2 linked regions of the Callithrix jacchus genome follow. The protein of the gene in region 2 interacts with the protein of the main gene of each other region in a biochemical or structural test. Links are inferred from orthologs where the notes say so. Each region holds a gene or a part of one and is shown on either strand. Other genes may lie near its edges.

What was found.
Region 1: the proteins of CHAF1B (region 2) and ASF1A form a complex in vitro, tested with the Homo sapiens proteins (2 studies listed by BioGRID and IntAct). The link is inferred for Callithrix jacchus from reciprocal best matches to the Homo sapiens genes CHAF1B and ASF1A.

The regions. Positions count from the first base shown.
Region 1 is NC_133505.1:125,225,074-125,229,351, reverse strand, and holds the start of ASF1A (histone chaperone ASF1A), read right to left. Parts: upstream 3,013-4,278; 5' UTR 2,765-3,012; coding exon 2,656-2,764; intron 1,103-2,655; exon of another isoform or gene 807-1,102; coding exon of another isoform or gene 775-806; intron 1-774. UniProt on the Homo sapiens protein: Histone chaperone that facilitates histone deposition and histone exchange and removal during nucleosome assembly and disassembly.
Region 2 is NC_133522.1:42,449,254-42,453,064, reverse strand, and holds part of CHAF1B (chromatin assembly factor 1 subunit B), read right to left. Parts: intron 2,962-3,811; coding exon 2,820-2,961; intron 1,225-2,819; coding exon 793-1,224; intron 1-792. UniProt on the Homo sapiens protein: Acts as a component of the histone chaperone complex chromatin assembly factor 1 (CAF-1), which assembles histone octamers onto DNA during replication and repair.

The sequences.
Region 1 (4,278 bases), on a different chromosome or scaffold from region 2:
TATTAACAAAAGTATGAAAAATGGTGGCCAAACTCCGCTTTGAGACTTGAGACAAAGTAACTCATAAAGAAAATTCTTTTCAAAATATTCTATAATTTGGGCTGGATGCAGTGATTATAATCACAAAACTTTGGGAGGCAGGGGTGGGAGGACTGCTTGAGTCCAGAGGTTCGAGACAAGCTTGGGTAACATGGCAAGACTCCATTTCTACAAAAAACTAAAAAATTAGCCTGATATGGTGGTACATTGACCGTCTTCTCAGCTACTCAGGAGGCTGAGGTGGGAGGACTGATTGAGATTGTAGGGAGCTGTGTTTGCACCACTGCACTCCACCCAGCCTGAGTGACACAGTGAGACCCTGTCTCATTTAAAAGAAAAATTTTTTCTATAGTTTAAGAATTTTTTTTTAAAAAAACTATAATATAAAAGTATGGAACCTATAAGAAACCTTTGCTAAGTAAACTCATTTCCTAAATCCACATAGCCTCTAGGTGGAGTACACAGTCATGGCCCCTTTTTGAAAGATTCCTTTGCAGCTTTGGCATGACTCAGCTTAAAATATTTTTTAAAATACTAAATACTCAGTAATGGTGCCTTGGAAGTGAAATATACCATTGGAAATAAGCATATTCTTGACACCAGTACTGTAAAACCCTGATGTGATTCAGCTGGGTTCTGAATGGATCCCACTTAAAAATGGAACATGTTTTGGCTTCTATGAATGGCTGGTTTCATCTATAACGACATCCTGAGTCATCTATCTTCTTTGTTCAGAGCTGACTCCTAAAATGGAAGGCATCACTTGAGAAATACCTGTAATTTGAAGAACTTCTGGTGGTATATTTGAAGAACACTGTGGTATAATTTGGAATGGACTGACCAATGATTTTTCTTTTGTCTGTTTTTATATGCAATTGGCAATAAAAAAGAAAAATTTACTGACTGTTGGGTGTGAAAAATGGTGCTGGTAGCTGCAATGCTTATATTAATAGTAGTATCGTAAGAGAATAATCAGATGACTTCAGAGTAATACGAAAAATACCCCTTAATGTTATCAATGGCCTATTTGAAATTATTTTAATAAATGAATTATCTTTTAAAATTTGCCCTATATGTGTATTTATGCTCTGCATAGGTCTTAAAAAACAGAGGCACACATGTTAAAGTAATAATTGTGATTACCTAAAGGAGTGAGATAGGGGAAGGTATTTAACACAGAGAACTGTTAACTTTATATATGCCTGTACAACTTTCTATAAGTTTATTACAATGAACATATATTGTTTTTATAAAGTTAACAACTCACATAAGATATATACATTTTAGAGATTAAAAACTAGTTTTTAAAATGAAAATAGTTTTACATGCTATGATTAGCCAAATCTTCAATGCATTTTAAAAATATACTTCTAATTCAAAGATGTCCCTCATCGATGAAGTTAAACTTTTTCCCCTTCAAAACTGGCAAATTAAGCACTGAATTACTTTAGTAAAATAAAAGCAAGGATAATTGTCGTTTTAGCTTTCTAAATATTACTACACATATTTTAAAATACGTATTTTTAAGACCTTGAAACATGTAGAAAAAAATATAAAGAATTCTTGGACTAAGTATTTTACCTTAATTTTCTAGCCTACGTTTGTGTTTCATGTTCAGGGTGTGTTGTGTATCTGGATGTGGAGTTATTTTAGATTTCAACACGTCCTTGAAGAAAGTCTTAAAGACTATTTAGAAGGCAAAGATTAAGTCCTGAAATTATTTAAGTATCCAATTTCTGCTCTTAGGTTAAATGTAACTTCCTAGCTCAGCTCTTATTTCTCTTCCTGAGATTAGCTTTTCGTCATTAGGGGAAAGGAGTCCACGTTGGTTGGGGAGCCTGCGCGCCAGCATCCCGGCGCATCCCGGGCGCCGGCCGAGGAGGACCGGCCGAACAGGACCCGCGGCCCCCGGGGAACGCCGGCGCCCAGCCCGCGGCGCGGAGGGGCCGAGCCTGTGCCCGCCTCCCCTGCTGGTTGGTCGAGGGAGCCAGAAATCAGCGCGAGGACAGCCTCGCTCTCCTCTCTGAAGCGGCCGGGCATGGCCAGCCCGGAGAGTGAGGCGACTCCACTGTGAGCTCTAGAGAGTTGACTACCTGCCTTTCGCCAGGGGCTGGAGGGCAGGCGGGCGGCGGGGCAAGAGAAGGCGCCGTGCGCCGGGGTCGCTGGCCCAATTCTCGACTCGGGGTAAGATGGCTCCGCTCCGAACTCGCCGGCGCTACTACACGCACAGCCTCTCCCTTCCCAGCCTCCGTGCCCAAGCCCGGAGGGTCGTGGAGGCTGGTCGTGGAGCCAGCCCCGCGCGACCCCCGGCGGCGCCGCGGGCGCGAGTGCCGGTCTCCGAGCTGCCCGCTCGCAGACAAAGCTGACAACATGGCTACCTCCGCTCCTCGGCTCAAACAAGTTCCTCGCAAGTTGAGCCCGGCAGACGCCTGGGCTGCGGCGGAACGCCGCGCGCGCCTCGGCTGCCGTCGTCCATCAACTTCAAGTTTCCCTCCGCAGAGGAGCCCGCGGCCGCCCGGCGCCGAGCACGGCCGCCCAGCGCGAGGCCGGGCCCGGGAAACTTTCAACGTCTGCAGCCCGCAACTGACAGCCCGGGTGCGCGGGCGCCGCACTCACCTTCAGACAGGTCCTCGATGCACTCGAAGGTGATCTCGAACTGGAACGGGTTGTAGAAAGGAGAAGGATTATCCAGCACCACTACATTGTTCACCTGAACCTTTGCCATATTTTGAAAAAAACACAAACAATGGGAACTGGGGCTGGTTGCGGCACAATAAAGTCCAGCGCGCGGCCGCCCGGGAGAGCGCAGACCCCCGCCCCAGCGCCGGCCCGACGTCGTGCAGCGGCGACTTGAGAAACTTTTTTTTCCCTCTTTTTATTTACACGGGAACACTCCACAGTGTTTTGCAGCTTTCCTATTTCACTAAACTACAGCCCATTCTGCTCTGATAAGTAGCAGCGTTGCCCTCGATTGGCTGCACCCGAGCTCTGACCCTCCTCCTCCAGCGAGTGCCTCGGCAGCCAGCAAGATGGGCTCCCGCTCCCGGAATGGACTCGGAAACTTTAACTGCGGCTCCACCTGCTGGTGTGGATTAGGACAAAGGCGGAGAACAAAGTGAGTGGAATAAGGGCTGGGAGGCCCGCGCGGAGGCCGCCGCCGGCGTCGCGGAGAGAGGCGAGGGGCGTGGCCGCGGCGGGGAGGCGTGGCCGTGGCGGGAGGGCGCGATCCGGGCGACGCCCGCCCCTCTAGTTGGTTTCGTGTGAGGTGTTTTGGCGTTTTTTGTTTTTTGGTTTTTTGTTTTAACGCTTTTTTTTCTTTTTTTTTTTTTTTTACATCGGTGCAAAGGCTCTGACGGCCTTGCTGAATTTAGCAGATGAGAGTCCGTGTTTACACTGGGTTAGGTTCAGCTTTCTGTGTATCGGGTAGTATTTGGAGTAGAGAGAATGATTAGCTGCAGTGGAAATAAATTGCATGTTAAAGACCGATGTCGGCTCGAAAGGAGCAAAGCCATTTTGGAAATCTAGCTCTTGGCCAGTATCTACGTTTGGGCACGACAGCGCCGTTAAGCAGACACAAAATGAAGGGCGAGGAATGATTTTCCACACACTGTGCTTGGAAAATCTAAATAGGTAACCTTTGGGCTTGCACCTGGGCGTCGTCTTCCGAGTCCAGATCTGGAAAGTCCTAGAATAAGAAAAGAATCACAAGCGATGTGATTAGTTATACCCCAGGTTACAGCCATTTGGAGAGAACAGAAAATGGAAGTGTCAGGAGACCAACAGGGCAACAAACATAACAGATGGGAAAAGAACACAAAGGCATAGCAAGACATTTGATCTTCAAAAAAAAATTCTTGACCTAAACCGTTAGTAAATAAAAATTTGTAGCACAGCAAGCAAATTCTCAGGAGCCCTTGCTTGCCTGTAACCAGTTCGGGTTTGAACTGAGGAAACGTTGATTCGTTTATGCGGCTTGACTACCATTGCAGGGAAAGAGGAAGCTTTAACATGTCTGTGAGCCTAAACCGTTTCTATTTAGTAAGTGATGTAAAGGGTTGTTTTATTACCTGCTATCCATAAACCATCACTTTTTTCCTTAAATGTTGTGAATGAAACCACCAAACTTGGCCAAATTCAGAGAGAAAAATTCTTAAGTATCTGTTTTGGAAGAATTTTCTCTTAGTATAGTGCCCAGAATTTTGATTTGTCATTCTTTGGGCATTGTTCGTACTTAAGTAG
Region 2 (3,811 bases):
GAAGGGCTGACGGGCCGAAAAGACTGCAAACAGAGAGGGTACATTCAACGGCGTCTTTCAGGAGACTCCTGGAGTCACCAAGAGGAACAGGTGATCAGGGCTTCCCCAGGGAAGGGAAGGACAAAGGCCTCAAAGGGTAGAGTATGTGTGCTCTGGGAAGATGGCATTCAGGGCTGGCTAGAGATGAAGGCCATGGACTGAAGAAAGAGAATGGCCACGGTCCTGGACAGGCTGCAACCAAATCACAGTCCGTGTGTGTGCCTAGGAGCCTGGGCTTTACGTGCCAGGCAGGAAATGGAGGAACAGACAGAGGCCTGTAGCAAGAAATGACACTCTTGGATTTGAAGTTAAGAATCTCTCTGGCGGCGGGCGAGGTGGCTCACACCTGTAATCTCAATACTTTAGGATGCCAAAGCAAGTGGATAACCGGAGACTGGGAGTTCAAGACCAGCCTGACCAACATGGAAAAACTCCATCTCTACTAAAAATACAAAACTAGCCAGGCATGGTGGCACATGCCTGTAATCCCAGCTACTACGGAGGCTGAAGCAGGAAAATCGCTTGAACCTGGGAGGTAGAGGTTGCAGTGAGCTGAGATGGCACCATTGCACTCCAACCTGGGCAACAAGAGAGAAACTCCATCTCAAAAAAAAAAACGAAGAATCTCTCTGGCAACCTACTGGTATGAAGTATTCGCTGCCTGAAATTCCACCTCCAGCAGGTTGGGAGGGTTCTGTTTGCATTTCAGGTTTCGTTTTGCAATGACAATTTCTGGTTCCAAGAAGTTCTTACCGGGGCGTTGTCTTGCTCCAGGCTTGCAGTGTGTTCAGAGTGACCCTCCGGGATGGGTGGGCTTTTGTGTTTTGACTACTGGGCTGCAAGCTCTTCTCCTCCAAAGGCCCGGGCAAGGAGCTTTTGACAGCAGGAGTGACGGAGGGAGGGTCCCTGACAGCTGCTGGGGCTGGGGCCTGTCTGGCCTGTGGGGGGGTCGTGCTGGGGCTGCTGGAGTCTTGGGTTCTGCTGGTAGGCATTCCCTCTACCAGACTGGGTCCTGGCGAAGACCCTCGGGGTGTCTGACTCTTGGTTTTCTTTGCTGTATCAGGAGTTCTCATGCTCAAAACTGGCTTCTCTTTCAAAGGAATTCCAAGTTCATCTTTCTCAAATGTCACAAACGAGCAATAACCGTCCGTGGAAGAAATGGCCAGGAAGGCACCATCACTGGACCTTTGTCCCCAAAACGGAAAAGTTAGAGACCTTACCAACATGCTCACATCTAGTTAGAAGAAGGAAGTTCAAGCCATATCACAAGTTTTTGTTGAAGGCAAAAACTAAGGAAAAGATACGACTAGAAAACCGTGTGACAGCACCTCACGCGAGCAGTTCCATTGTGATTTCCTGAGTCGCTGCAACTGATCTGTGCTACTAGCAATTTTCACTTTAGTAGGTGGGGCACAGTGGCTCACACCCACAATCCCAGCACTTTGGGAGGCCAAGGCAGGCAGATCATTGAGGTCAGGAGTTCAAGACCAACCTGGCCAACATGGTGAAACCCTGTCTGTACTACAAATCCAAAAAAATTAGCTGGGCTTGGTGACACACACCTGTCCCAGCTACTCGGGAGGCTGAGGCAGCAGGAGAATTGCTTGAAACCAGCAGGCAGAAGTTGTAGTGAACTGAGATTGTGCCACTGCACTCCAGGCTAGGTGACAGAGCAAGACTCCATCTCAAAAAAACAAAACAAAAACTCACCCTGGGCCAAGCAGGCTGTGGGGGCTGACTGAAAGGTGGCAGAAGGGCAGTGCTGAGTGACATCCTCTGGACAGGCCCAGCTTGTGGTACTTCCCTATCCTGGGCAGCAGGGGCGTGCAGGGAAGGGCTTCCTCCTAGAGGGCCTGAGGAGTTCCCAAATGGTCAGGGAGTCCACAGTGCCTCCCTTCAGTTTATCAGAGTCCAGTTAACCCCACAGGGACATCTGAATGCCATCAAAACCCACCAGTGTGAAAATAAGAAGCAAGTATTGTGGCAAACTAGAAATGGCTTTCCTTTTAATATTGATTCTTTCAAAAACAAAATTGGACCAGGCGTGGTGGCTCACACTTGTAATCCCAGCACTTTGGAGGCCAGGGTGGGACGATCGCTTGAGCCCAGGAGTTTGAGACCAGCCTGGACAATGTGGTGAAACCTCATCTCTACTAAAACCAGAAGAATGAGCCAGGCATAGTGGTGCGCACCTGTAATCCCAGCTACTTGAGAGGCTGAGGCATGAAAATTGCTTGAACCTGAGGGTGGAGGTTGCAGTGAAATGAGATCATACCACTGCACTCTAGCCTGGGCAATAGAGTGAGATTCAGTCTCAAAAAAACAAATAAGAAACAAAATAGGTCCAGGAGCAGTGGCTCACGCCTATAATCCCAGCACTTTGGGAGGCCGAGGTGGGAAGATCACAAGGTCAAGAGATTGAGACCAACCTGGCCAATATGATGAAACCCCATCTCTACTAAAAATACAAAAAAATTAGCTGGGTGTGGTGGCGCACGCCTGTAGTCCCAGCTACTCGGGAGGCTGGGGCAGGAGAATTGCTTGAACCCAGGAGGCAGAGATTGCAGTGAGCCTAGGTCATGCCACTGCACTCCAGCCTGGCGCCTGGTGACAGAGTGAGACTCTGTCTCAAGAAAAAAAAAAAAAAGAAACAAACAAAATAGGTGAATAGGGCCCCCAAAGCCATCTTTAGTAATAAAATACTCCCTGACCCCAGGGTCTATTCCAGGGTACCGGCCACAGTCTCCTTTACTCACTCTCCCTCCTTAGCAGCCACTCACCATGAAATGTCACTGAGGGTGTGGTAATGTATGTTAGACACGTAACCAAAAGGGAAGGACTGCTGGGTGTCGTACAGAAGCACGGAGTCCTCTGAAGCCACAGCAAACACTAGGCGGTAGGGCAGACTCATCAGCTCCGCACCTGGGGGTCGGGGACAGAGACAAAGTGAAACTGCAGAAACAAGGCTTCTGGCTGTGCGCAGTGGCCACACCCAGAATCCCAGCAATGTGGGAGGCAGAGCCGGATGGATCGCTTGAGCTCAGGAGTTTGAGACCAGCCTAAGCAAATGGCAAAACCCTGTCTCTACCAAAAATTCAAAAATTAGCCAGGCTTGGGAGTACATGCCTGTAGTCCCAGCTACTCTGGAGGCTGAGGTGATAGAATCGCTGGAGCCCGGGAACTTAAGGCTGAGGCCAGCCATGATCGCACCACTGCACTGCACTGCACTTTGCTGGGTGACAGAGTGAGACTCTGCCTCAATGAGTAAATAAACAGCAAAGCTCTTAAAGGAAACAACTAATTCCCCAGCAAAGCCCTCTCTCCAGGGGGACCTAAATGACACAGTTTTATGAAAAGCTAGTTTACCACATGCTTTACAAAAAAATTCAGGTCTCGGTATTATTTATACCTGACCACATGAATAGAGAGAACATGCATGAACCAGTGAGGACAGTGTATCAGGAACCAAGAGTCATGGGAACAGAAGGGCCAAAAAAGCAGGGAAAACAAAAGATGTGTGACAGGGGCAAGATAATCTCAGAGGCTGCTTTCTTTAAGGAAATGTAAGAGTTACTTAGCAACATTGTATCCAGTGATTTTCATTCAATCACATAAAGGATCAAAATTTAAAAACAGCTTCTGCTTCCAGCCCTGGAGAAAATGGGATCAGATTTACCCTCCTACCTAAAAAAATCCTAAAATACCAGGCAGTCTTTTAAAACACCGGCAGTGAAGGATAGTGATCCTTGAGAGAATGGAAGCAAACGAGTTA